Xenopus tropicalis: one gene and its partners. The protein of the gene in region 2 interacts with the protein of the main gene of each other region in a pairwise test. Links are inferred from orthologs where the notes say so. Each region holds a gene or a part of one and is shown on either strand. Other genes may lie near its edges.

Region 1 (5,162 bases), on a different chromosome or scaffold from region 2:
TAGTATCATGAATGGATTGTACCACCACATAGGGCCCTTCCCAGGCTGCTTGCAACTTGTCTGACCTCATTGGTGTCAGTAGTAACACCTTGTCCCCCGGACCGAATCGCCGGTCCCTGGCATTCCTATCATACCAAACTTTTTGTTTGGTTTGAGCAGCTGTCAGATGTTCCTTCACCAGAGCGGTCATTTTCTCTAGACGTTTACGAAATTGTAGAACATAAGGAACTACAGGAAACTCAGGGAATTGGGCTCCCCCCTCCCAGTACTCCCTTAGCAAGTCTAGGGGGCCTCGAACCCGCCTCCCATACAACAACTCAAAAGGAGAGAACCCAGTAGACTCTTGGGGAACTTCTCTATATGCAAACAAAAGACAGGGCAGAAACTTCTCCCAGTCACCTTCTCCAGCCTCCACAAAAGTTCGTAACATATTTTTAAGAGTCCCATTGAAACGCTCACACAGGCCATTAGTTTGAGGGTGGTACGGGCTTGAGCGAAGAGAGGTGACCCCACAGCGCTGCCATAGACACTGAAGTAATTGGGACATAAACTGTGGCCCTTGATCGGATAGGATCTCACTAGGAAACCCTACTCGTGAAAAAATCTGAATCAGTGCATCTGCAACGGCTGGGGCATCAATTCTCCGTAAAGCCACCGCCTCTGGGTACCGGGTGGCATAGTCTACCATTGTAAGTATATATTGCTTGCCTGTCCTGCTGGGTCGGCTAAGGGGTCCTATCAAATCAACAGCAACTCTCTGAAATGGCTCCCCTATCACTGGTAAGGGTCGCAATGTATGCTTGTTCCGCTCCCCACTTTTCCCAACCCTCTGACAGCTGTCACATGATCGGCAGAACTGTGCCACTTGTTGTGACAACCCTGGCCAATAGAAATTTTGTAGCAGGCGATAGCGCGTGCGAGAAATCCCTTGGTGCCCTGCGAGGGGTACCTCATGTGCAAGGTGCAGCAACTGGGTCCTAAATTTGGCAGGCACCAACAACTGACGGCATGCTTCCCTTTGTTTTCCTCTAGGGCTTTTGAGGACTCTATAGTACAACCCATCCTCCTGCACTATTTGTTCCCCTGCTTCGGTACCTACCACCCCTTGCCCAGCTCTGTCTCTTAATGGCTGAAGACTAGGGTCTGCTGCTTGTTCAGCCCTAAAATCCTGCCAATTACCTATGTCAAATGAGTCATCAGTCACATCTGTCTGCCCATTTACCTCCTGGACAACTGCCGGTGGCTCGCCTGACTCTGCCTGCCGCCTCGTGATGCTGCAGCAAATGTCTCCCACATCATTTCCAAGCAGGACATCAGCAGGAAGTTGATCCATGACCCCCACTTCATGCAGCACGGGCCCTTCTCCCCAGTCCAAAGTCACTTGTGCAATTGGCACCTCTCTGCGCTGTCCTCCAGCCAGAATCACTCGGGCCATTTTCCCCAGAACGATGCGATTTAACGTCACCACACTAGGTTCCGCCAGAGTTATAAAGGCACCAGAGTCCAGGAAACCTTCCACTGGGTTTCCATCTACTTGCACTGGAATCACATGGCATTTTCTCTTGGACTGATCTGCCCAGTGTATCTGCATTACTGCAAATTCGGGGGTCTCACTTAGGTTGATTTCAGGCAGGTCACACTCTGCACTTTCCTTCTGAACAGTGGCGACAGGTCGAGCAGGCGTCACCTTTGGAGCCCCTGACACAGAAGGAGATCGCTGGTTTAGAGGGCAAGAAGCTTGAAAGTGACCCAGGGCCCCGCATCGAAAGCAGCTTCTAGGTCCAGCCCCTGGTAGCGGTGGGTGGGGAGCAGCATTAGTGCCAGTGGAATGCGGATGAGAGCCTGGCAGCTCTCTTGCCCTGGGACCTGTTGTACCTGGTGCTTGGGGCCCTCTCTTTGTAGGCATCCTGGTTTCCATATACTTGTCTGCCAACTGGGCAGCTTCTTCTACTGTCTGTGGCTCACGGTCTACAACCCACTCTCGGACTCCTGGGGGGCACCGCTCCAAAAATTGCTCTTTCAGGCATAATTGCCTTAAGTCCTCCATTGTTTCAGCCCCAGACCCTTTAACCCACTTGTCAAGGGCCCTTGATAACTTGTTACCAAACTCAAGGTAAGTATCCTGGGGGGTCTTTAGCAGTGACCGGAATGTTTGCCGGTAAAACTCTGGGGTGATAGCATAACGGATCAGCAATGCTTGTTTAATCTCCTCATAGTCCAGTCTTTGTTCATCAGACAAGGCCCGAAATGTAGCGCTGGCCCTTCCAGTTAGCTTGCCAGAAAGGATTCGGGGCCAGTCCTCTTCTGAGATGTTATGGGCCCTGCACATAATTTCAAATGTCTCTAGAAAGGCATCAATGCTGTCCTGCCCTTCGTGAAATGTGGGGAAGGCAGTGGCAAGCTTCAGAATGTCTCGTGCCCGACTCTCCACTGAGGACACGGATAGCCTACCATGCTCCCCTAAGCCATGTCCTTCACTGGCCACCTCCTCCTGCACCATTTTCATCAACTCCATCTTTTCTGCCACAGTCAGCTCCTCACGGAACAATTCCAGCCTTTGTTTAAACACCTCTCCAACCCTGTCTCGGGTAGGGTTGGCTGGTGGCCCCCGGACCGCTTCAGGGGCCCCAGCAATAGCAACATCTGATGTAACAGTCTCAGCATCTGAATGTAGGAGGGGCAGCAGTAAAGCAATAATCTCTGCCTTTTTCTTCCCTTCTGGGGCTATGCCCCTTCTGCGACTCCACTTTCTCAGAGTGGCAAGGGTTAACTCCTCCAGGTTTACCCCCCACACCCTACTATGGAGCCTTCGCTGCCAGAAGATAAAATAGATCCGGTGGGGGTGCAGTTTTGAGCCGTTCCTGGCACAGATACCCCCACACACTGCAGGGTGGCACAAAAGAAAGGACCAAGTGAATGTATGCCTGCAGTTTGCCAATAAAGCACTGGAGTGGCCCAAATAGGCCAAAATAAAGTTTTTGTTATCCTCAAGGTCAAATCAGTAAGCGTGGGCTGCTCTCCCCCCGCAGGGATGTGGCACCTTGGGCACCTTGTTAGGCTAGGGGCCACTGGCACAGACACACCTTTCATCGGAGTTCTTCTATTTTCATATCTTTTATTGATCCAAGGATAAACAACATATAACCCTGTATGCTCTTATGTGTAGTCCAATATAAACATCTATACAAAGCACAGGCTTTTTATATACTCACATTATCTTCATACACTCCATGTATTAATCTCATATACTCCAAATACTCATAATATACTCAGGTTATCCTCTATACACTCTTACTCCTACTTCTACTGTTCTCAGATTGTCCGTTGTGATAGGATCTGTTATTCGGAAACACTTTATCCACAACATACATAGGTGCCATTTCCTACACTGTCCTGTTCTGTTTTATTTCCCCGATGGGATATAAAGATTCAGTGATTTGTTAGTTTCGCCTCGGCGGGGCTCCCCTCTGTCCTACCCCCATACTTACCCCCTGACCCACCCCTGTACTTACCCCTTGCGCTCTGTCCCACCTTTGTACTTACCCTCTGTCCTACCCCTGTACTTACCCCCTGCCCTCTGTCCCACCCCCATACTTACCCCCTGCCCTCTGTCCTACCCCTGTACTTACCCCCTACCCTCTGTCCCACCCCCATACTTACCCCCTGCCCTCTGTCCTACCCCTGTACTTACCCCCTGCCCTCTGTCCTACCCCTGTACTTACCCCCTGCCCTCTGTCCTACCCCTGTACTTACCCCCTGCCCTCTGTCCTACCCCTGTACTTACCCCCTACCCTCTGTCCCACCCCCATACTTACCCCCTGCCCTCTGTCCCACCCCCATACTTATCCCCTGCCCTCTGTCTTACCCCTGTACTTACCCCCTGCCCTCTGTCCTACCCCCTGTACTTACCCCCTGCCCTCTGTCCTACCCCTGTACTTACCCCCTGCCCTGTCCTACCCTTGTACTTACCCTCTGTCCCACCCCCTGTACTTACCCTCTGTCCCACCCCTGTACTTACCACCTGCCCTCCGTCCCACCCCCGTACTTACCCCCTGCCCTCTGTCCCACCCCCGTACTTACCCCCTGCCCTCTGTCCCAACCCCGTACTTACCCCCTGCCCTCTGTCCCAACTTTGTACTTACCCCCTGCCCTCTGTCCCACCCCCGTACTTACCCCCTGCCCTCTGTCCCAACCCTGTACTTACCCTCTGTCCCACCCCTGTACTTACCCCCTGCCCTCTGTCCCACCCCTGTACTTACTCCCTGCCTTCTCCTCTCTCTTTCAGTTCACCTGGTTGACATTTGGAATATGATAGAAGCTTTCCGGGACAACGGCCTTAACACACTGGATCACAACACAGAGATAAACGTGTCCCGGCTAGAGACCATCATATCGTCCATATACTACCAGCTCAATAAGCGCCTCCCTTCCACCCATCAGATCGGCGTCGACCAGTCCATCAGCCTTCTGCTCAACTTCATGATCGCTGCTTATGACAGGTCGGTCCCGTCGGCTTTCCCTGTATGTGTGGGTGTCAGCAGTGATTCCCTTCTGGTTCCGACTACTGACTCAGCTGGGAATGTTCTATATACACAGAACCTATTCAGTGCCAGCAAGCAGACTTTGCAGTAATACCGGCCCAGTAACAGAGCAAGGGCAAGTGGGGCAATACCCCTGCATGTTTATTGGGTAAGCTGCAACATTTCAGCCCCCCAGTCACATGCAATAAACATACAGGGGGTTGCCTTCTATACCGAGCGCCGAGCCCACAGTACCAGCAAAGATATGAGATTCTGGTTATACTGGGTTTGTTCCACATCCGAACTGTACCTAGTGATCTTATTAGCAGTAATAATTCACTATCCCTTTAGGCCAGGAGAGGCCCTGTAGATCTGCTAAGGCGGATGGAGTCAGAGGGAAGCTCCAATCAAGGCATTGGCAGCCTACAGAGAAATCCATGTTGTTGTGGTTAGTGGCTTGTACTGGAAACCAACCTATGTTTTGTCTCGGGAGCAAATTGGGAAAGAAGCTTAAATTATATGCCCTGGGGTTAAACAGAAACTCCGGTTGGGAGAGAAGCCACATCCACAAGGGGAAGGTGGAGAGAAGGGGGCTAACAAGTAAGGATTAGGGGCTGGATAAGGCACTGGGGCAGCCTGGGA
Region 2 (5,162 bases):
GTAAAGGGATTTTTTTTTTTTAAAGTGCTTTACCCACTACATCAAATCTTAAAGCAAACCAACAGAGATAATGTTTGCTCTCAAAATTAGGCCTGGGTGCAAAATTTATACTAGGGCCGCCGCCTCCCAAACCTGTGCTTGCCATCCTCCGTACCAAAGATCACAGCAACCCTATGTGGACCCAGAACACCCCAAAGGTGAGGGCCTTATGCAGTGGCACCCCTAGCCCCTCTGAGTATTCTATACATTGCTATGTCCCTGGGCAGCTCCCCAGTGACCCAGAGCTCTCTAAACTAATGGGATGGGTATAACTAGTACAGGGAGAAGCAGTGTTTCTTTCTTAATAATTGTACTGACTTTCCCTCTCACCTCTCGTACGTCCCGTTGAAGTTTTGAGTTCATTTCTTCGGATTTGATGAGGTCCTTCCTTGCAGTATCGAGGTCTTCTTCTAGCTCTGTTACCCGGTTGGAAAGAACAGCCAGGCGCTCCTTCATTTGAACTTGCTCCTTGGTTTGTTTCTCTATGATATCCTGGAGCTCCATCACTTTAGATAGGTCCTCATTATGATTTATAGAGCAATCTGATGATCTCTGTCATAAAAAAAAAAAAAATAATAAATAGCGGTAATCCATTTTAATCCAAAAATGTTATATTTAGGGGAGATGGATTAGGTTATCCAGGTCCAAACTGTCCATATCTATATTTACTGGAGACATAAACCAATACCAAAGCTACAACTGGACTTACAAGCACCATTACATATGCCAACATTGCCAGCAGCCGTGTTTGAACCATCTCACCTTCCCGTTAGCGTTAAGTGCGTTCTCTTGCTCGTGGTTGACATCGGCTGTACCGTCATTGAATATTTTCTTCTGATTATTCTGCTCTCTTGAAATCATCAGCTGAAAACAGACACATTTTGGCAAAAATCAGTTTGACGCATTTAAAGGACTCCCATCCAGAACAGTGGTTTCCAAACCTCTTCCTGTTCTGTACTTGCATGAAAACAGATGAGCATTCATTCCAATCCCCCAAAAGAAATGTACAGTCCATTCTGCCAACTTGAAAAAAAAAACCCACAGCTAATGGTATAAAATATTTACAGAATAACATCTGAGCAGGATCCGAAAAGGCAGTTGTATATAAATATATATCAGGCCCACTTGCCTGGGGCGGCCATGGAAGGCTGCAGACTTATCATTCAAACAATGCAGGAATACAGAGCAAGCAAGTTTAGAATGCAGACCTACCTCTTTGTGTGTTACAGCCAGTTCTTCTTCCAATAAGCTACATCTCTCTAATGCCACCCGTAACCTCTCTCTTACCTAAAGAAAAACACAGAATCAGGAAAAGAAAAATCCAACTGGAAATACTGAATGATCTGCAGATTAGGGGCCACATTGGCCAGTTTGTGTGTAGACAAAATGCAGAAAGAATCTAGAATGTCCTATTCCTAGCAACTTTGCAATTGGTCTTATTGGAAATTGGAATTATCTTCCTTCCTATTCTGCCGCTTTCCAGCTTTCAAATGGGGGTCACTGACCCCGTCAATCACTGACTGCCTGGTTGCTAGGGTAAATAAGACCCCAGCAACCAGACTGCTGCTGAAATACCAAACCAGAAAGATGCTGAAGAAAATGCTAAATAACTGAAAAACCATAAAAAATACAGGGAAGACCATCATTCAATGTACTAAAAGTGAATTTGAAGGTGAACTACCCCTTTAAAGTCAAGAAAATACCTTTTCATCCAAAGCTTTGTGATGCTCAAACAGAGACTTTAGTGCTTTTAGGACTTCAACTTCACTGGACACACCAGCAGGGGACTGAGCCTGCCTCTTCACCACGGTCATTCTTAGGGACCTTTCGTGCCGGGAAACCAGACACTCCAGATGTTCTAGTAAGAGCTAGAAAAACACACATGAATGAAACTAGGCCCAAAGCTCAACATCCGCACAGTGCCTACACAATCTATCAATGCACCATCTATGTCTTTAGAGGCAAACTATAACTAAAGAGATTTTTATGTAACCCAAAACAAGGTGCCTAAGTTCCTCACCCTTCTTAAGTGAAATGAAAAGCATCCCTAACCTTGTTCCATTGGAAAGTGATGGATTTTGACTGTGCCTCTGCTTTCCAGAGAATCTGTGCATCCTCTATAGAAAGCAAAAGGACGTCAAGTCCCAAAATCCATCATTTTACAATGGAACAACAAGAGAGGGGGTTTGCATTATACTGTGAGCCTAATGGTGGGCAGACACAAGCAGATTTAAGCTGCTGATTCAAGCCCTTTAGATCGAATGGGCAGCTTATATGCCCATGCACGGGGCCCCCGGACTGATTATATTGACAGCTCCTAAAAGGGTTGTTGTAAATCGATCGTTTGGCCCTAGAGACAAATTAGCCAACTTTTGCCAGCCAATCGAGAGATCTGCTCGTCCTTGCCAAATGAGCAGATCTTAATGTTTTAGGGCAGTGGTGGGCAAACTGCAGCTCTTTAGCCCCTTGAATTTGGCTCTTCCAGGTGCGGACTAGCACGTAAAGTGCGATTGCATTTTCGTTGCCCATAGCAAAAATCAGCAGGAGGGGGTGGTCTTTGGGCTACGGGAGAAGCAGCGTAGGCGGGGGGCGGGAGACGCAGTGCAGGGGAGGCTCGCTCGTTTCATGCACGAGTGAGCCAGTGACAGTCTGCAAAAAAATTGGCTCTCAAAAGAAATTTCAATCGCTGTTTTGTTGATATTTGGCTCAGTTGACCAATAAGTTTGCCCACCACTGTTTTAGGGGATATTGTGAACTGGTTCCTATCTATAACAAGCTTCCTTTCAATCTGTGGAATACAGTACCGATTAGGCCTGGACTGCTCTGTGGATTCTGGCAAATGCCAGAGGGGCTGCTGTAAGATGCCATAGACTGTCACTATTGGGCTCGTGGGGAGGCTGTTTGGGCCTCTGCGTACTAGAAATGCCAGGGCCTATTTTGAATTCCACTCCAGCTCTGATACAGTTAGTGTACATGTACCTTTTCTCCATAAGCCCAAGTGAATGAGCTTAGGTCAAAAAGGGGAGGGGGGTATATTTTCCCTTTAATGAGCAGCCATGCTGCACACACATATTCCAAGCTAGCATTCATGCTTGACTTACCCTAGTATTGTTTCTTTCAGCCTTTAGTTCAGCTATTTCTTCCTCCCGCTCTAGAAGCTGCTCTCGGCAAATATTTAGCTCTTTTGTAAGTGCGGCAAACTCCTATAAAAGAGAATAAACATGAGCGTTTCACAGACTTGCAGGATTATCATAATAACAAGCAAACTGAGTGCTTTGCAATCAGATGTTTATGGAGCTGAGAAACAACTGAAATAATGATGCCGGCACACAAATAGCTCTGCTACAAATCAGCATTAGCTCTATTGTCCCCATGCATTATCATATGTTTGTATAAATGTGTGTAAGTCACAGCTAGATGCTAAAAGGCTTTTTACAAAATGAATTATTTCATTCTGCAACATCAGATATTTGTTGGCAATACGGTACATGGATTCTTATCAGACTGTCGTCTGTCGTGTCCCTGTCACACAGTGTTTAAATGTTTGTCTATGGGTTCTTGTTTGGCGAGTTCCTCACAGGAATGTACCACCTTGTTAAATAAAGAGGTCAGCCTTACAGACACGAGGGAGAAAAGCAGCGCTGGGAGCTGTACAAGTTAAGCACCTGTCATGGCTTCGCTGTCAGTCGGAGAATTTTAGTATCCCGGGGAGGGGAAAATACAGGATTTCTATGGAATAAATGACAACAACCAGGCTTTTAAGTTGGTAATGTGACGTTATCTGGCTCCAACCAATGGCAGCAGCTAAATACACTGAGCCCACACCCCACATGGAGATGTGTCTGGCTCCAACAAAAATAACAGCCGATGACCACACAGGCTTATAAGCAGCCAAATGTAATGAGCAAACACAGCACCCTACCACCCCCACTCACTGACGCATAGAACTCCCACTGAGCAAGAAACAGCTGACAGAGCACTGGTTTCCAAACTATGGGGACTATTCTGGCAGCTTCTCTGCCCATGTATGGGCACCCCCGACAGGCCTACCCGACCAATACCTGGCCTAAAATTGGCCAATCACGGGTAGATTTGGTTTTCTGTCAGATCCGGGACAGCATTGGCTCGTTGATGTGGTCCTTGATCTGTCTGCGCTTATGCCCGATGTTGTAATTGATCATTTAGCCCCATATTGGCCACATTTAGGTGGGCATATTGGGAGAAGATCCACTTGCTTGGCGAGTCAGACAAGCAAATTTACCCGTGTATGGCCACCTTAAAGGCCACTCAGGTTGAGACTTGGGGCTGATATCGATTGGCTGGAGGTCTGGCCAGAAGATCACATTGGACCTGGTGTCACCAATTACATGTAAGTTTAAGATGAAGAGAACTGATGTTTCCAGTAACCTTCTTATGATAATGGAGGACCACAAAAAAAGTTTGGGCAGCTTGGCGACAAATGTAGCAAAATGCCAGCAGGCAAACACAGCCAAGATACGTCCCCAGGGGGTTAAATGGTTTCAACCTTTCAACCGATGCAGTAAATTCCTCACACACAGTAGCAGGTTAATTATTGTACAGGGAAACTGCACAACAGCACAAGTGACATTCGCTGTAGGAAAGCCTTCCCGGGGCGCAAGGGCCTCATGAGAACATGCGCAGAACCTGAGCTCTGTTTGTGAACCCGCGTGGTCTATACAAACTGTAACCACAGGAGAAGAATGTCCATTTGTCTTCCTGCTTATCTCACTTCTAAAGGATCCCTCCCGAAAGACAACAACGTAGCATTTAATAGGGACATTCCAGGCGAAGTTAGGGGCCGCCAACCTTTTCAGGCTCCCTTTCTCACACACACATAACTTCGGAACGGCTGCCGACGCCAAGCTGTATTCTATTCCCATCCTGCCAATGGCATGGGAAATAATCAAGGTGATGGAGAGTTCAGCGAGGATGGTGGGGGGGGAGATGAAAGGCAAACTCTTCAAGCCCTTCGAGGAAAAACACCAAAAGACCAGGACCATCTGACTTTATTCATATCAAGTCCAATTGGATCTGTTTAGAAAAGCTCCGCTGCCAAAACGTCTAACTGGCTGTGAATTTAGTAATGCAGCAAACACACCACG
Region 3 (5,162 bases), on a different chromosome or scaffold from region 2:
TTAACATCAGTTGCAAAATGATCAGAAACATTCATCTTTTTTGTTACCCTTAATGTCTAACAAGTGTTCTCTCATGCATTCCTTTATTATTCGTACTGTTTGGCCAACATGTTGTTTGCAACACTCGCTGCAAGTCAGCAAATAAATTGCACACTGTGTATATAAATGTTTTTTATACAAATAGATAAGAACTTGTTAGAGGCACCACACCTATACATGCCCTTACTAATAAGCCAGGTGGGTATGGTAGAATCTTTTGTGGAGTTAATTTCACTTTGAGCTAGAATATTCCCTAGCAAATGCATTTTTCGGTTACATATTTACAACCATTTTTTCAGGATACAATCTAGAACAGGTCAGTTTGAATCTTTTTTTATGTGGAAAACTGGGAACTGAACATGAGAATATGCAAAGGTGCTCTTCTCTCCCAACACTGCTTGTCTTTCTCTGCTTCTACTGCATTTGTGTATATATATATATATATATATATTTATATATATATAGATATATATATATATATATATATATATATATATTTATATATATAAAAGGGAATTTTTTCATAATATTTCTTTCCTCTTGAAGATGTATCCAAAACAGACATCTATATAATGTGTGGAACATCAACATGCCATAATATGCATTGCCTTGCTAACCTTTTAGTGAGCCGTCTTTCTTCACCTTTGTGTCTTTGGGCTCAACTGCTGCATTTAGATTGTCTTTTCACAACCATATCATTTTGTCCTTAGGTGTGGTAATGTGAGACCAAATTTATCTAGCTTCTTGCAGTCTATAATTTAGATGGAAGCAGAATGCTGAATAAGGAAAGTTGAATGCAGTTTTGTTGCAGTGGGTTTTGCCACTACAGTACAATACAGTACCTTGTTCTTTGCTACATTCCCATGTTTTACCCTAACTCAATAAACATGGTTCCTTACTATTAGGATTGCCACCTTTTACTAGGAATAATACCCGCCAGGGTATAGGGGAGGTAGGGGCTGGTCAGTTTATGGCACAAAATGAGCACAGTTATTGTGTGACACCTGTAAAGGGGGTGGGGTAATGACTTGAAGGGGCGGCACAGGATAGATTGGGCTTCTGTAGACTAGAGGACTGACCTGCGAATAGGAAATTGGGGTGGAACAACAAGTAGTTACATGTTTACTGGCAAATACATTGGCAGTATTTTACCCTACCTTTTGTGCACAAGTGTTTGGTTCCAAATGCTGCAGAGACAAATGAGTGATTATTGAACCCAAAAACTGTTTCATTCTTTTAAAAAAAAAAAATTATAGATCATTTTGCGAAATGCTGGCAAAACAGTTTTCTTCACTTGTTTACAATTTGTTTTACTTGGGATAAAAATTCTAAATAGACATTGTGTAAACCTAATGACATGTTATGTTATCTTGGACTCAACAGCTTAACAACAGAATTTAACAAGTAGGTAATAAGATTTCACTTTTAGTTTAGATTTCCTTTAGAAAAATTATTATTGCCAGTTAGAATCAAAGATAAATGGCAGATGGCATGTCTACTACAAGATGTGGTAGGACATATACATATAAGGACATAAAACATATAATAATGCAATACTGAATTCAAATTCTATTCTAAATACTATTTGATTTTAAGCTCAGTTTGCCTTTTTTTTTCTGCTTTCATTTTCCTAACACGGAAAATGAACACCCATAATTGTTGGTTTACTGATGACTTTCCTGTTGTACCATAGGTTTTTACTAATCTTCATATCATTATTTTTTAGGATGGCCAGTCACGAACAGTGCGACAGTTTCAGTTTACTGACTGGCCAGAGCAAGGAGTGCCAAAGTCTGGAGAAGGATTTATTGACTTTATTGGGCAAGTACATAAAACAAAGGAACAATTTGGTCAGGATGGGCCAATCTCTGTTCATTGCAGGTAAATAATTCTTATTAACAGTTATGTAGTATAATATTATTTTTAGATAAAATATATGAGATTAAAATGTCTTATCTTCCAGTATAATATATGACAAGCATTCTTGGCTGCACACATCCATGTGTATCTACATCAGACATATATGTTTATCTTTTCCTAACTTTTACAGCACTTTCTTCTAAGAAATATAAAACACCAAATATATCAGCCCATAATAATGGGCAGTACCTAAAGATTCAGTAGGGTTTACATTATTTAATATATCAAATTGTCACAAAATGAAACCTCTCAGACCTAATGAAGAATATAATAATATTTAACTGAACTTATGAACCTTAGAGTGGACCATCAAGAGAGCATTATCTGCCAGTTGCCACTTTGTGCAAGCTTGATATTCCATTTGCAAATTGCATGGGTTGTTAAAGAACAGTTTAAGGTCAAACCAAGTGTGGAGACAGGGAAATCTGTTCTACCCTATTCACTGCTTTGGATTCATAAACCAAGACCGTTCTTCTGGAGGCTGTGGGACAAATTCATATTTTCAAAGTATTGTCTATTTCCCAAGGGGACAATATAGTTATTTGTATGGAATGATTGCTTTAAAAATATAACAATCTGTGCATATAATATAAATATATACATATATACAGTACCTTGATTTGTGAATATATAATCCAATCCAATTGTGTCTTGTATAATTTATTCACTAGAAGGTTATATATAAACTAAGTTTTAAGTCCAATTAACTTTTTACTTGTATATTATGTAAAGGTATAAGCAAAATATCATGCTATATTATTATGCACTGTTAAGATGCATTTGCCAAGAAAGTATATGTATGGGCTCCATAATCTGTAAATCCATTTCCAGAAATGCCTAAATTATGGGGAGATCATCTCCCATAGACTCCATTTTATACAAATAATTCACACTTTTAAAACATGTATTCTTTTTCTTTGTCATAATAAAACAGTAGTTTGTACTTGATGGTAACAGAGCTGCATGAATCCATGTTGGTGGCAGAATAATCCTATTGGGGTTATTAAATTAAACGTAATTTTTAGCAGACAAAGCATGGAGATCCAAATTACGGAAAGACCACTAATCTGGAACACCTCAGGTCCTGAACATTCTGACTAACATTTCCTAAACCTGTACGAGCAGTTTTTGTTATCTGTTGTGTTAGCTCTAGTCCCTGAATAATAAATATTTGCGAAACATTATTGAAACTTGTACTTTGTTGATATTCAGCCTGAGGGCTCTCAACCTCAGTTTGGAGATATTCTGTTATTTTTTTTAAATGGTAAAGAATAGCCTAAATCCCCAAATAAACTTCTTTTATTATTTTTCTTTATATGATGCCAACATTCTTAACGGTTACATGTCAGAACAGCCCCGTAACAATCTCTCTATAAATAGAATTACTGTGGGATACAGAAATTACCTATTAAAAGCCTGTTTATGAAGTGTTAGTGTCAGAATGACTTTGTGTGACTTGTTCTCAGTCATACTGCTCAGTAGTACATCATATTAACCATGAACTTTTTTTTTTTTTTTTACACAGTGCTGGCGTTGGAAGAACAGGAGTTTTCATAACTCTGAGTATAGTATTAGAACGTATGAGATATGAGGGTGTTGTAGATATCTTCCAGACTGTCAAAATGTTGAGAACGCAACGGCCTGCAGTGGTACAGACAGAGGTGAGGGAACATACACTACATATGCCTATGATAGGTCTTTGGAACAGTTATTGGTTTTAATGTTTCAATAGATACTGATGCAATTTCATTCAGAAGCCTATTTAAGGCATAGATTTGTAAAATGCCTTGAAATTAAGGTACAAAATAACTGATAGTTTAAGTGTTAATTTTAACTATGATCTTTGATGTTAGTATTTCTTTTTTTATTGCATTTTTTGCAAGACTCGAAAATCTCTATATGGCTTGACTTTGCCTAGGACACCTCCAATTGATTTTTACATGAACTCGCAAGCTTTTAAATGCCGTCATTTTACATCAAGTTGTTGGATTGTTTTACCTTAATAAATATCAGACATTCGAATTTTTGAGCAATAATTAAAATTGTGCGAGTTGTAGCACTAAAATCAAACTCGAACGCTGATAAATCACCCCCTAATATTCAACATATAGCTAAGTTTACTATGGTGTCAAATAAATTTGAGCAGTGCAGTCCATGTGCTAATACTAAATATTAATAACAAAGTATATAGTATGTTATTCGGTTTGTATACATTAACACTGAGTTTACCATTCTCTTTCTTTCCATGTTTAGGATCAATATCAGTTCTGCTACCGAGCAGGACTTGAATATTTGGGCAGCTTTGATCACTATGCAACGTAGAACTTCTGGCCCATCCAGAAATTTACCTGCAGGCCCTTCAAGATCCAGAGAGCCTCTTCTGAGCCATACAGTGTGCTTGGGATGTACTTCTTAACTCCTAGCTAAAGACCAATTACAATAATTGGAATATTATAAAAATAAAAGACATTTTCTGGGTGGACCAAGAATTCACACTTTAATACCTAACATAAAAAAATAAATAACCCTCACTGGGATGGCATCTGAAGGGATAATTTCTCTGTGAATAATCCAGAACCAGTTGGCATTAAAGGGAGGAAGAGGAAATCGCAAAGAACCATGAACTTGTCTGGGATTGCATGATTGTTCAAAGACAAATCTTAGGAATACAACAGCTCAGTGCAAGATGTTTATTGAGCCTACTTCTGGCTTCTTAGACAAATGGAATCTTTGCTTCGACATCAGCCCTTCTATCCATATTGACCATAACACATTAGTAAAAGAAATGGGTGGGAAATGTTGAAAAACAAAGTCATTTATTTAGTTTTTTAGTATTGTAAAGATACTGCTGACCTGTGCTTCATTATTAACGGTGTAAACTTTATTTTCCTTTTTTTTAACAAAAATTTATAAAGAAAGTGAATAAAACATTGCATAATTGTTGATTTTTGATCCAGAACTGTATTTTTTTTATGCGGTAGAACTGTTATATGTAATATCCCTAATTAGAAATATAAAAACTATTGAAAGATTTGCACATATGTGTGCATTTTGACTTATAAAGTGTCATATTTTTTATCTCATACTTCTTTTACAACGTCATATTCCCATTTTTTTTTAAGTCATATTATTTGCAAAGCATTCAAGACAAGCTTTTTTCATGTTCTGTTTGGAATCAACAGGGAAGCGCAAAGTATAAAGCT
Region 4 (5,162 bases), about 75 Mb from region 2:
GAAGACTTCGCTATTGTGTGAAGGACTAATATTTTGCTTTTCTATTCCGTACCATTCCACTTCAGTGCCGAGTGCACCACCAAGAAAGGTTGAAGTAGACTCTGTAAACTCCACATCTGTTCGTGTGACATGGAAGTCTCCTCTACCAACCAAGCAAAATGGGCAAATTAGGGGGTATCAAGTCACTTATGTTCGTCTAGAAGGTGGAGAGCCTCGGGGGAATCCCATCATAAAAGATGTTATGCTGTCAGAGGCTCAAGTAAGTTTTGATATGTAGCAAGGTATGTTTAACAAACACTGTGGCTTTTAATTTTTGGCTATGTTAAAATAAAAAAAAAAATGTAGGCGCCTAAAAAACCCTTTTTGGGGTTTACTCCATAAAATGGAGTCTCCACTGGTTTGACTACCTCTCTCCTTGTCTTTGCCCACTTGTTGCCTTGATCTGCGACCCACTAACCCTTAGCTGGTTGCAGTACACATGTTGTGTTATGTTGCAGTCTATCAAGCATGGTTCTCCTTTGTTGCTGTAAAGATAGCAGTGTATATCTTACATGTATATACCCAGACTTACCCAAATATATACCCTTCAGTAAAACTAAAACCTCCATATACTGAGCATGACTTCCCGTATCATATTTATCCAAAAATATGTGTGAAAAAACATCTCCTCATAGCATGTATACCCATCAAATTTGTTATGCATGTAACCTTTTTCCACAAGTCTGCACCAGGTGTAGTGTTTGTAGATACTATTTTTCTAGCTTGATTCTGTGCCACAACAGTTTCTTCATTTAACATGTTCATAGCTATATGTGTTACCCTTCTGTTTTGGCCTAATGACCCTGTAAACCCGTGCCTGCATTACCCATTTACCCCCTGTTCTCTCTGTCTTACCAGTGGAGACCTGAGGATGTGGGAGATTACGTGAGTATCCCTTGTATTTTAAGTCTCTGGGCAGACTGCGTGATCGCATTTTATTTCATGAGAAAAGCAGGCTGCCACAGAGCCAACCTCTGCTGAGAAGTGAATAGCACAAGCAATGCCCAGCTCATGTATTCAGTGGGAACAATATTTACATTAAAGAAAGAACCTATAGAGTGTCCCTTTACAGAATGCCACCTCTTGTAGTTTACTGGTTAATCCCGCTGCTATGAGAATCTTGGGTTTGCTTGTTCCATTTGCACCTGATCTGGCAAGCATATGTTGGTCTTTGTGACAGTCTTCTGCCTGTTGCATAATCATTGGTTAACTTGATTGATTTCTTGGATTCTCTACCTTTGCAAATTTACTGTCCTCTATTTTCCCCTTTATCACTCACTTTTGCTGTTGTTTGACTGTCTCTTTTCCCATGATCCACTCCTTTCAACCTGCGAGCATGGAGTGGCAAAATTAATTTGCATGGAGGCCTGAAAGATCATGGGTTGTGTTGGTTTCTTGATCACTGGGGTCTATATTGGTCGGAATGTATTTTGGCTGGTGCTGGGGCTGGCATCTACACCTACCCTTGCCACATGCAGCCTTGTGATTGTCATGCTAAAGACATTATGGCGTATAGTTTCCAAAAAAATGTTTGGCTTAGTGACTTGCACAGAAAATAAATGGATTGCCCTTCATCTTCATCTTTATGAAGCTTAAATTGTACTGCATTCCCTTGCAAAACATGGCATATATTACAAGTTATAGCTTTCATGTAGTTTTTATCTTTATTTTTCAGTTCATTCCTGGGTCATGGGACATGTTAAAGTTTTCTATTACCTTATAAAGAATGGTGGTATAAAGATTAATATTGTTTTTCTCTTATTAAAACACAAACGATCTGCAGAGCACTAAGCCACTTTTTTCTTTTAAGCGAGTTTCTCTCTTGCAAGAATGTAAAGCATCCTGGATTCTATAACATGATCTCACAGCTCCCCCTTGTGAGCTTACACATAATTCCAAGTGCTTGATGTACTTTTCTTGTGTGGTGACACTATTTATCTCCATTATTTAGGATGCTGTTATCACTGGCCTCTCTCCTGAGACCACTTATTCCATCACTGTGGCCGCCTACACTACTAAGGGAGATGGTGCTAGAAGCAAACCCAAGGTCGTTAGCACCACAGGAGCTGGTAAGAATAGAATGGTAACTAGTATTTGTTGGGCCCAGCTATAGACACACAAAATTGTGTTACCATCCGTTACAATCAATATTATAAGAAAATGACAAAATGAAAAAACATTGAATCCCGAGTTTAGCTCATGGGTTTCCAATTGGATAGCTGTGAATTACTGATTGCAGCATTCTGATGTGCACTGTAATGATTATGTTGTGTCCTAGGTCAGTAAAAAAAAAAAAATCCTGCATTCCTTATGATGGCTCGTTATAAGATCCATGGCTTTTCTGGCTAAAACAAGGGTACCCTAATATCTAAGGGTTGGTTAGTTATAGCTTTGTAACACTGGATGGGATGCTGCTGTATATGACTTAATTTCACATAAATGTAGCAAGCAATATGATCCCAGGTCAATAATTCAGTACAAACAAATGGGTCAGCCTTTGTGTGCAGGATGCTGTGTCATTGAACACTTAAAGGAAAATTGGATGAGGGTGACCAATTAAAAGGGTTTTTTTAAATTTCCAAATATTCCTATTGCTGTATTATCCATACTGCGAACAAATGCTTGGTCCCATTCCAGCAGTACAGTGCCTAACTCTATAGTTATGGCCAGCAAAGGAGTTGAGCTGTGTTAATGTTTTATATCCATTGTTTTACATTAACTATAAAGATATGTCATACAGCTTTGAATCCTTTGCCATTTGAAACAAGTAGGAATTTTCTTTATGCCACTCCTGTGGAAGTGGCATGCTTGGCAGCTTGTTTCTCTCCTCCTCCAACCCTTCCCTGTGTTAATCACCCAATAGAGTAGGTAGTTTTTAAGCAGAAACACGCAAAAACGGATTAAGAAACTCCAATTTAATAATTTTTCTGGATTAGTATTAAGCTACAAGGTTAGAGAATTATTTATCACTTTCAACCTGTTGCTCTTCTGTTATATTTGAACAAGTAGTGCAAAAAAACAAAAACTGTTTACTGGGTCTTATTGCTTGGCAGTGATGATCATAAGTGTACAGTATGGGGGAATTAAATGTTAAATGTGATGAGCTCTGCTGAGCTTGGGTAGTATAGCATAGAAAGGAAGATAATGTTTGTATTTGTCAGGACAGTTTGTCTTAATCTCTGATTGGGAGTGGTTCTCAGAGCTTCTGTGTTGGTTCATTAACAGTACCAATATTTAGAAGTGTATACTATATGATGTTATGTACGCTACTGAGTGTGCTGTGATACACTGGTAGCCTCCAGGAGAGCTTGTGGGAGAGTTGATAGAATATTGTTTGCATTACAAAGAGAGCATCTTTATAGGATGAGAGTGACATGACCAAAAAGGTCAGCTGCAGAATTGCTTAACATGAGAAGCAGGGCATATAGCACGGAAAGGAAGGCACAATTTATATGTGCAATTCCTCTTTAGAAAATTAAACATCTTTTCCATTACTTGTAAAACCATGTCAGGAATTTGGATAACACTGCTGTTTGACTTTAATAACATCCAAGATGTCTAGGCATGAAACATTTTATTAGACAGTTTTACTTAGTAAGCCACAACCCCAATTAATTTTGAAAGGGTTTTAGCAAACAGCAGTTCAGTTGCCTGGATTGACCAAATATAGATCCAAAAGGAGTCCGTTCTGTCTAGAATTTCAATATACTATCTTATATATAGGGATCATCCATGGAAGTAATTACAATTTTATTCAGAATGCTACAGGTTGTGATACCTGTAATGGGCCAGCAAATGCACAATTTTCCACACTATGTGGGCTTTGTAATTTGAAAACTTAATCAGAGCTTTAAAGACTTATGTATTCTTCCAAAGACTTGCCTATTTTCTGTGGTTTTGTTAAGGTTTCTGGTAGAAACCTCAAGATAGGTGAAAGATCATTGAAGAACACAGCTATAGATTTTAATTATTAATGTGATAATATCTTTCAGTGCCTGGTAAACCCACTATGATGATCAGCACCACAGCACTGAACACTGCTCTGATCCAGTGGCATCCTCCAAGAGAGATTGTGGGAGAGTTGTTAGGATATCGTTTGCAGTACAAGCGAGTGGATGAAGACAGGTTTATTACAATTGATTTTAGCAAGAATGAACATCACCACACAGTGACTGGGCTACATAAAGGTGCAAGCTATATATTCAAGCTTTCTGCAAAAAACCGAGCTGGAGCAGGGGAGGAATATGAAAAGGAAATTTCCACAGCTGAAGATTTTCCTAGTGGGTTTCCCCAAAATCTGCAAGTAGTTGGACTTACAACCTCTACTACAGAAGTGTCCTGGGAACCACCAGTGTTGTCTGAGCGCAATGGAAAGATCACCAACTACACAGTGGTGTATCGGGACATAAATAGCCAGCAGGATCTCACCAATGTCACTCGCGACACACACATAACATTGGTCAATCTCAAGCCAGACACCACATATGACATCAAGGTCAGGGCAAGAACAAACAAAGGCGCTGGCCCTCTAAGTCCTAGCATTCAATCACGTACAATGCCTGTTGACCAAGGTAACATAAGGGAGATGTAGAACTTTATAAGGGCATGGACATGTATGTTAGTAACTGAACAGTTTCTTCCTTTCTTTACAGTGTTTGCTAAGAATTTCAGAGTAAACGCCGTGACAAAAACCTCAGTCTTGCTAAGCTGGGAGCTGCCTGATTCTTACAAATCAGCTGTGCCTTTCAAGGTTAATATTACAGAAAAGTACATTTGCTTGTTATAACATATCAGTCTACAAAAGTATTAAGTGTTTCATAGAGTCACAGTATGACTCGGTTGGACAGTGTTTTTTCCTGGAATAAACCATTTATTAGATATACCATCTACAGTACAATTAGTGATTTGATGGCATATACATTACTCTTGAGCAGCTTGGGGGCCAGAAAAAATGCCTAGATGGTTGAATTTGGCTTTAAAAGCATTAAAGCACCTCCCTTTAATTTTCATGGATCTTCACCTTATACAAATCAAGGCATAGGGCCTTCCATAGCCTTAAGCTTGCCATACATGCACCAATAGTATTGTGCAAAACCTAGTTTTGTACAATATTCGGTGCGTGT
Region 5 (5,162 bases), on a different chromosome or scaffold from region 2:
TCATGACTTAAGGTGGCCATACTGAGGCAGATTTAAGCTGCTAAGTAGAGTCCTTTTAGAAGTATTAGGCAGCTTGTCCTGTTTATGGGGACCCCCAACGGGGCTACCCAACTGAAATCTGGCAAGGTGTCAATCAGGCAGGTTTGATTTTTCCATCAGATCGGGGACTGCGGTTTACTGATGCAGTCCTCCCTGACAGTTTCTCTCACCTTTCTTAGGAGACGTTGGTTCTCGGTTTATTTTGTGTCCACCTTAGGCTTAGGATAAAAGGGGAGTTATGTCTTACTCTGAAATCCTTTTCTTCACTTTGTACTGTCCATAGGAGACAGAACTTCCAGTTAGGGGTAGGAAGTCCTGTTAGTCCTGCACCTATAAACACTTTGTGGCAATATCCATTGCAATGATTCATTTGCCCTTTGCACACAAATTCAATAAGTAAAAAGCTGCATTAACTGATACCCTGTTTACAAAGAGAGTTGCATCCACTTTGGCAGTGAACATGATGATCTGCATCCATACCTTGCACTTTGTGCTCACTTCATAAACGAGCCCTAATGTTCATTCCACCCTGAAGTAGGGAGCAGGAAATGGAAATAACCCTGCCCAACTACCTTATCCTGTCCTGTACTTTGGTATTCAACATGTTGAGCTATAATATAGCACCAGAAGAGATTTCAGCCTAAACAAAAAGGGAAAAAAATTCACCTAGAAAGCCACACAATGACCTCATCATACGCTGGCAGTGGAATCAGGACAATAGGATTTTAAGCATGATGTATACAGGGGTATAGATAAGATAATTAAGCTTTTTGTTCTGCAGCACCCCAGTTTGAAATTCAAAATCTGTTACTAATGTCTTAATTACTGGTACAGTTAAATGACTAACTGATAGATGAACAGAAAGCTAAATTACAAAAATGTAATGAAAATAAAATTAAAATATAGATTTAGGTTTAATACACATTTGGTTGCTGGTGTCCGTAATGTATTTTATATTTCCGTCTGTAGGAAGCAGAACTGAAAGTCAAACCGTTTAAGCAGATCGGGAACCACAGGCAATACAAAATGTAGACTTAAGCTGTGTCACACTTACAAATTACATCATACTATATGTTTAATTTAAAGAGATTCTGTCAAGATTTTTATGGTGTACTTTTTATTTCCAAATTACGCTCTTTACATAGCAAATAATTCACTCTAACATTTAAAATGTTATTCTTAAACCAACATATGGATTTTGTTTGTTATAATATTGTTGTGTAGGTAGCCATCTCGGTGCATTGTGCCTAAAGGTGGCCATACACGTGGCGATCCGACGATGTTTCGTACGACCATCGGTCGCACGAAACATCGTAAGATCCGCCACACACCATTCAGGGCTGAATCGGCAGGTAAGGAGGTAGAAACAATAGGATTTCTACCTCCTTCTGCCGATTCAGCTCTGAAGGGAGAATTTTGGTCAGGCGCCTTCTATGGCGCCCGATCAAAATTTTCAAACTTGTCCGATCGGCGAGTCGTCCGATATCGGCAGCTTCCTGCGATATCGGTCGACTCGCCGACATGCCATACACGCACCGATTATCGTACGAAACGAGGTTTCGTACGATAATATCGGTGCGTGTATGGCCACCTTTAATCTGAGCTTTTAGAAAGAGAGCCAGCGCCACACATTAGAATTGCATAACCTATTGTTTCACCTACTCCATTTAACTGGAGGAGTCCCAAGCCAGACTTGGATTTCTTACTAATGAGTGAAATCTACCTGGAGCTGCTATCTTACTACCTTCCCATTGTTCTGGAGTGATACCACTCCAACTTGCAGCTCAGCAGTAAAAGTGTGACTGAAGTTTATTGGACACCCTGGGAAATGAAGAATATGGCTATCCCCATGTAAAATTTCAAAATTAAATATAAAAAAAATCTGTACTTTAAAAAAAAACAAAAAAAAAAAAAACAGATTTCAATGCAGGATTCTGCTGGAGAAGTGTTAATAACTGATGCGTTTTGAAATAAAACATGTTTTCCCATGACAGTATTCCTTTAAGGTTAGCCACCGTATTAAGGTAAGAGGTAAGAATGCAAAGCAAAAAGGGAAACTGACAGACAAAAGGTCAGTTATCTGCCCACTGAACAACTCTCTAAAGAACCTTGTGTCACAACAGCAATAACAGAAGGTATTGAAATGTTTAAATCAAAAACAGTAATTATAAAATACATTTACTTTTAAAGCAACATGTTATCATACCCCATTCTTTTTCCTCCTAGTACCCTCTTCTTTTATGATGATAAAATATTCGTGGGTTAGCTATTTCTTGATGCTGCTTCCATGCTTTTAAAGTATATAGTCTCCAGTTTGTCCTGTTATTGCCGATGGTCAGTTAAACTTTTACAAAGCTACATTAGTAATATTTACTTAATATTTTCAGGTACCATGGCATGTTTTGTGTTGGTCTCATTGCAGTCAGAGATTAGAATACGGTCTGATTTTTATCTCCTACAGCTGTTGAAAGAGGCAGTCGAATCCCAGCGCATGTGTGAACTAATGAAACAGCAAGAGACCCACCTCAAACAACAGGTTGTACACTACACTCCCCCCCCACAACCATAAAAGCAGCGCCATGGCAGAATTCAGAATGCTGGGGACCTGGGGTATTCTGGATAAGGGGTCTTTCCATAATTTGGATCTCCATACTTCAAGTCGACTAAAAACTCAATAAAACATTAATTAAACCCCAATAGGATTGCTTTGCATCCAATAAGGATTAATTATATCCTAGTTGAGATCAAAAGGTACTGTTTTATTATTACAGAGAAAAGAAATCAATTTTAAAAATCTGAATTATTTGATTGAATGACGGATCCCATACCTGTATTTATTTGTGAACAAAATCTTCCCATATTAGACTTCCTCACTCAAGTAAAAAATGTTAACCTTTTATAGGCCATTAAACCTGATAAAAATTCTCTTGTCCTTTAGTTAGCACTGTATACAGAGAAGTTTGAGGAGTTTCAAAACACCTTGTCTAAAAGCAATGAGGTTTTCACCACTTTTAAACAAGAAATGGAAAAGGTAAGGATTAAATAATGAATAATTTTACTGCTCATTGCAGAAAATGTAGTAAATAGCTGTTGGATCATTAAAGCATTTATTTTAATTTTTATTTCTTGCAGCTTAAGGATACTGGCACATGGAACACGTTGAGTGCTGCAGTTTTTAAGTAGTCCAAAAACACAAAGCCAAAGTATTCAAAACTACATACAGACTTACATTGAAATTGTCTGACTGATAATTTTATGGGAAACTACTGCAGTTCTTCAACAAGCAATTTCATAGCTTGTCTGTGGTGTGGTGGTGGTGGTTTTGGACTACTCTAGGCACCTAGTGCCATTATCCTAAGAGAAGTTCCTTAAAACAAATTTAAAAGTAACATTGAATTAATGTAGTCTTCCTTTATTCTCATAATGTATCCAGATGACAAAGAAGATTAAGAAGCTGGAAAAAGAGACAACCATGTATAGGTCCCGATGGGAGAGCAGTAACAAAGCATTGCTTGTCATGGCAGAAGAGGTAAGAGAATGCATGCATGGATGGATGGAAGGAATGGAAATAACACAGGACTCCACATTTTATAGGAAGCAATATATATTCACCGAGGCCCTTTTGGGGACCTAAAACTTTCTGGAAATCAGCACAGAACTTGGAACACTGTAAAAGGAAAGACAAAATAACTGGTATCAAAAACCTAACACAACTCAATTAACCAGCGATCGGCAAAGGCCAGGATGGGTGGCAAACCTCAGTCAAATATGCAAAAAAACGAAATAAAGTATATATGAGGGCTTAGGCAGATTGTAAGATAGAAACCAGTCTGGGCAATGATACACTACTGGTGTAAACCTTTTTAACCAAAACAATGTGGCAAAATCATGGAAGCTTGGCAGAGAACTGGAGTGTAAACGAAATTGAAATTTAAATATAAAACTTATTGCTATCTCATGCAGCCCACATTTAATGATTCTTTTATTTATTTATTTTTTCCAAATTTGTACTTGTACTTTTAGAAAGGTAAGGGGGGGGGGGTGGAATAAATACGTTTTTTTTATTATGAGACTGCCTGCATTATTATTAATCATGGCATAAACAGATAAACAGAAATATACATGTGTGAAACAATTAGCTTTATGTCTAACAGGGTGTCTCAGAGATGATGCATTTGTTTGGAATTGCTTCCAAGTGTTACAAGTCACAGTGCAATCTCCATCCAGGGAAGAAGCACACCAAAAATCTGGCACATTTTTGTGGCACAAAAATCTCTATGCAATAAATGTGTTAAAGGCAATTGCCGGTATTTTGATGTGCTTTTTCCCTGGATGAAGGTCTATGGGGTTTGGCTTGAAGCAGCCTTGGAATTGAATGCACCCTATGGAATTATGTAAGTGGTGTGTCGAAGTATGAGTTTCTGGTATTATAAGTGATTCCATAAACAATGTTGCCTTTGTCCAGTAACCCAAATCAACCAGCCAACCGTTTTTAATACTTAAATTCACTTAAAACATGCAAACTTTTGCTCACAGCTCTACATCCTATAACCCCCTCTTACCTTTCTAAAGTAATCCCATAGAACATGGTCAACTGTACTTGGCATATAAGTATGTAGTTGTAGATTCCTTGCAAAAGAGTTCAGATCCCTGACCAATTCTGTCTTGACTGAATAACAAATCCTTCGCTGAAATGTTCTACACTGGGACAGTTTACTTTAGCCCCTGTGAAACTGCAGCACCTTTCACAGCAATTAATCTTTCAGGATCAGTATGTATTGCTTTGTGTGTTGTTAGGGAGTGATATTGGCTCAACCACTAAATTTTAAACCATTAGGCGGGGGTGCAATGAGGTTGTGACCACGAAATACATAGAAACAACAACAAGAGATCCTCTGCACTCACCCATTATCAATATATAGGACATTAAGACATTCGGTGCATTTAAGCTACTAAGAAATGCCCTTCCCTTTAAGCAAAACAGGGATTGTTTGTCCATATATTGCAATATACTTCAAGCTGGCCAACTGCGTCAGTCATCCCTTTTGACCAGTTCCTACACTGACTTATGCGATTCATTAAGAATTCTACTGCTTCAATATACATTTAGCCAAGGGGCTAAG

The links. The genes of interacting proteins can lie anywhere in the genome.
Region 1: the proteins of ppfia1 (region 2) and dtnb interact in binary tests that used the Homo sapiens proteins (3 or more experiments, as listed by UniProt). The link is inferred for Xenopus tropicalis from reciprocal best matches to the Homo sapiens genes PPFIA1 and DTNB.
Region 3: the proteins of ppfia1 (region 2) and ptprd interact in a two-hybrid assay, tested with the Homo sapiens proteins (2 studies listed by BioGRID). The link is inferred for Xenopus tropicalis from reciprocal best matches to the Homo sapiens genes PPFIA1 and PTPRD.
Region 4: the proteins of ppfia1 (region 2) and ptprf interact in a two-hybrid assay, tested with the Homo sapiens proteins (2 studies listed by BioGRID). The link is inferred for Xenopus tropicalis from reciprocal best matches to the Homo sapiens genes PPFIA1 and PTPRF.
Region 5: the proteins of ppfia1 (region 2) and txlna interact in binary tests that used the Homo sapiens proteins (3 or more experiments, as listed by UniProt). The link is inferred for Xenopus tropicalis from reciprocal best matches to the Homo sapiens genes PPFIA1 and TXLNA.

What each region holds. Positions count from the first base shown.
Region 1 is NC_030681.2:161,052,192-161,057,353, forward strand, and holds part of dtnb (dystrobrevin beta), read left to right. Parts: intron 1-4,285; coding exon 4,286-4,499; intron 4,500-5,162.
Region 2 is NC_030680.2:14,513,727-14,518,888, reverse strand, and holds part of ppfia1 (liprin-alpha-1), read right to left. Parts: intron 3,243-5,162; coding exon 3,141-3,242; intron 1,908-3,140; coding exon 1,743-1,907; intron 1,327-1,742; coding exon 1,252-1,326; intron 904-1,251; coding exon 802-903; intron 592-801; coding exon 370-591; intron 1-369. UniProt on the Homo sapiens protein: May regulate the disassembly of focal adhesions. May localize receptor-like tyrosine phosphatases type 2A at specific sites on the plasma membrane, possibly regulating their interaction with the extracellular environment and their association with substrates.
Region 3 is NC_030677.2:126,371,360-126,376,521, forward strand, and holds the end of ptprd (receptor-type tyrosine-protein phosphatase delta precursor), read left to right. Parts: intron 1-1,765; coding exon 1,766-1,920; intron 1,921-3,484; coding exon 3,485-3,620; intron 3,621-4,212; coding exon 4,213-4,281; 3' UTR 4,282-4,887; downstream 4,888-5,162.
Region 4 is NC_030680.2:89,619,626-89,624,787, forward strand, and holds part of ptprf (receptor-type tyrosine-protein phosphatase F), read left to right. Parts: intron 1-65; coding exon 66-259; intron 260-897; coding exon 898-924; intron 925-1,990; coding exon 1,991-2,108; intron 2,109-4,031; coding exon 4,032-4,610; intron 4,611-4,691; coding exon 4,692-4,789; intron 4,790-5,162. UniProt on the Homo sapiens protein: Possible cell adhesion receptor. It possesses an intrinsic protein tyrosine phosphatase activity (PTPase) and dephosphorylates EPHA2 regulating its activity.
Region 5 is NC_030678.2:86,598,117-86,603,278, forward strand, and holds part of txlna (alpha-taxilin), read left to right. Parts: intron 1-2,500; coding exon 2,501-2,575; intron 2,576-2,977; coding exon 2,978-3,070; intron 3,071-3,461; coding exon 3,462-3,476; coding exon of another isoform or gene 3,477-3,568; intron 3,569-5,162. UniProt on the Homo sapiens protein: May be involved in intracellular vesicle traffic and potentially in calcium-dependent exocytosis in neuroendocrine cells.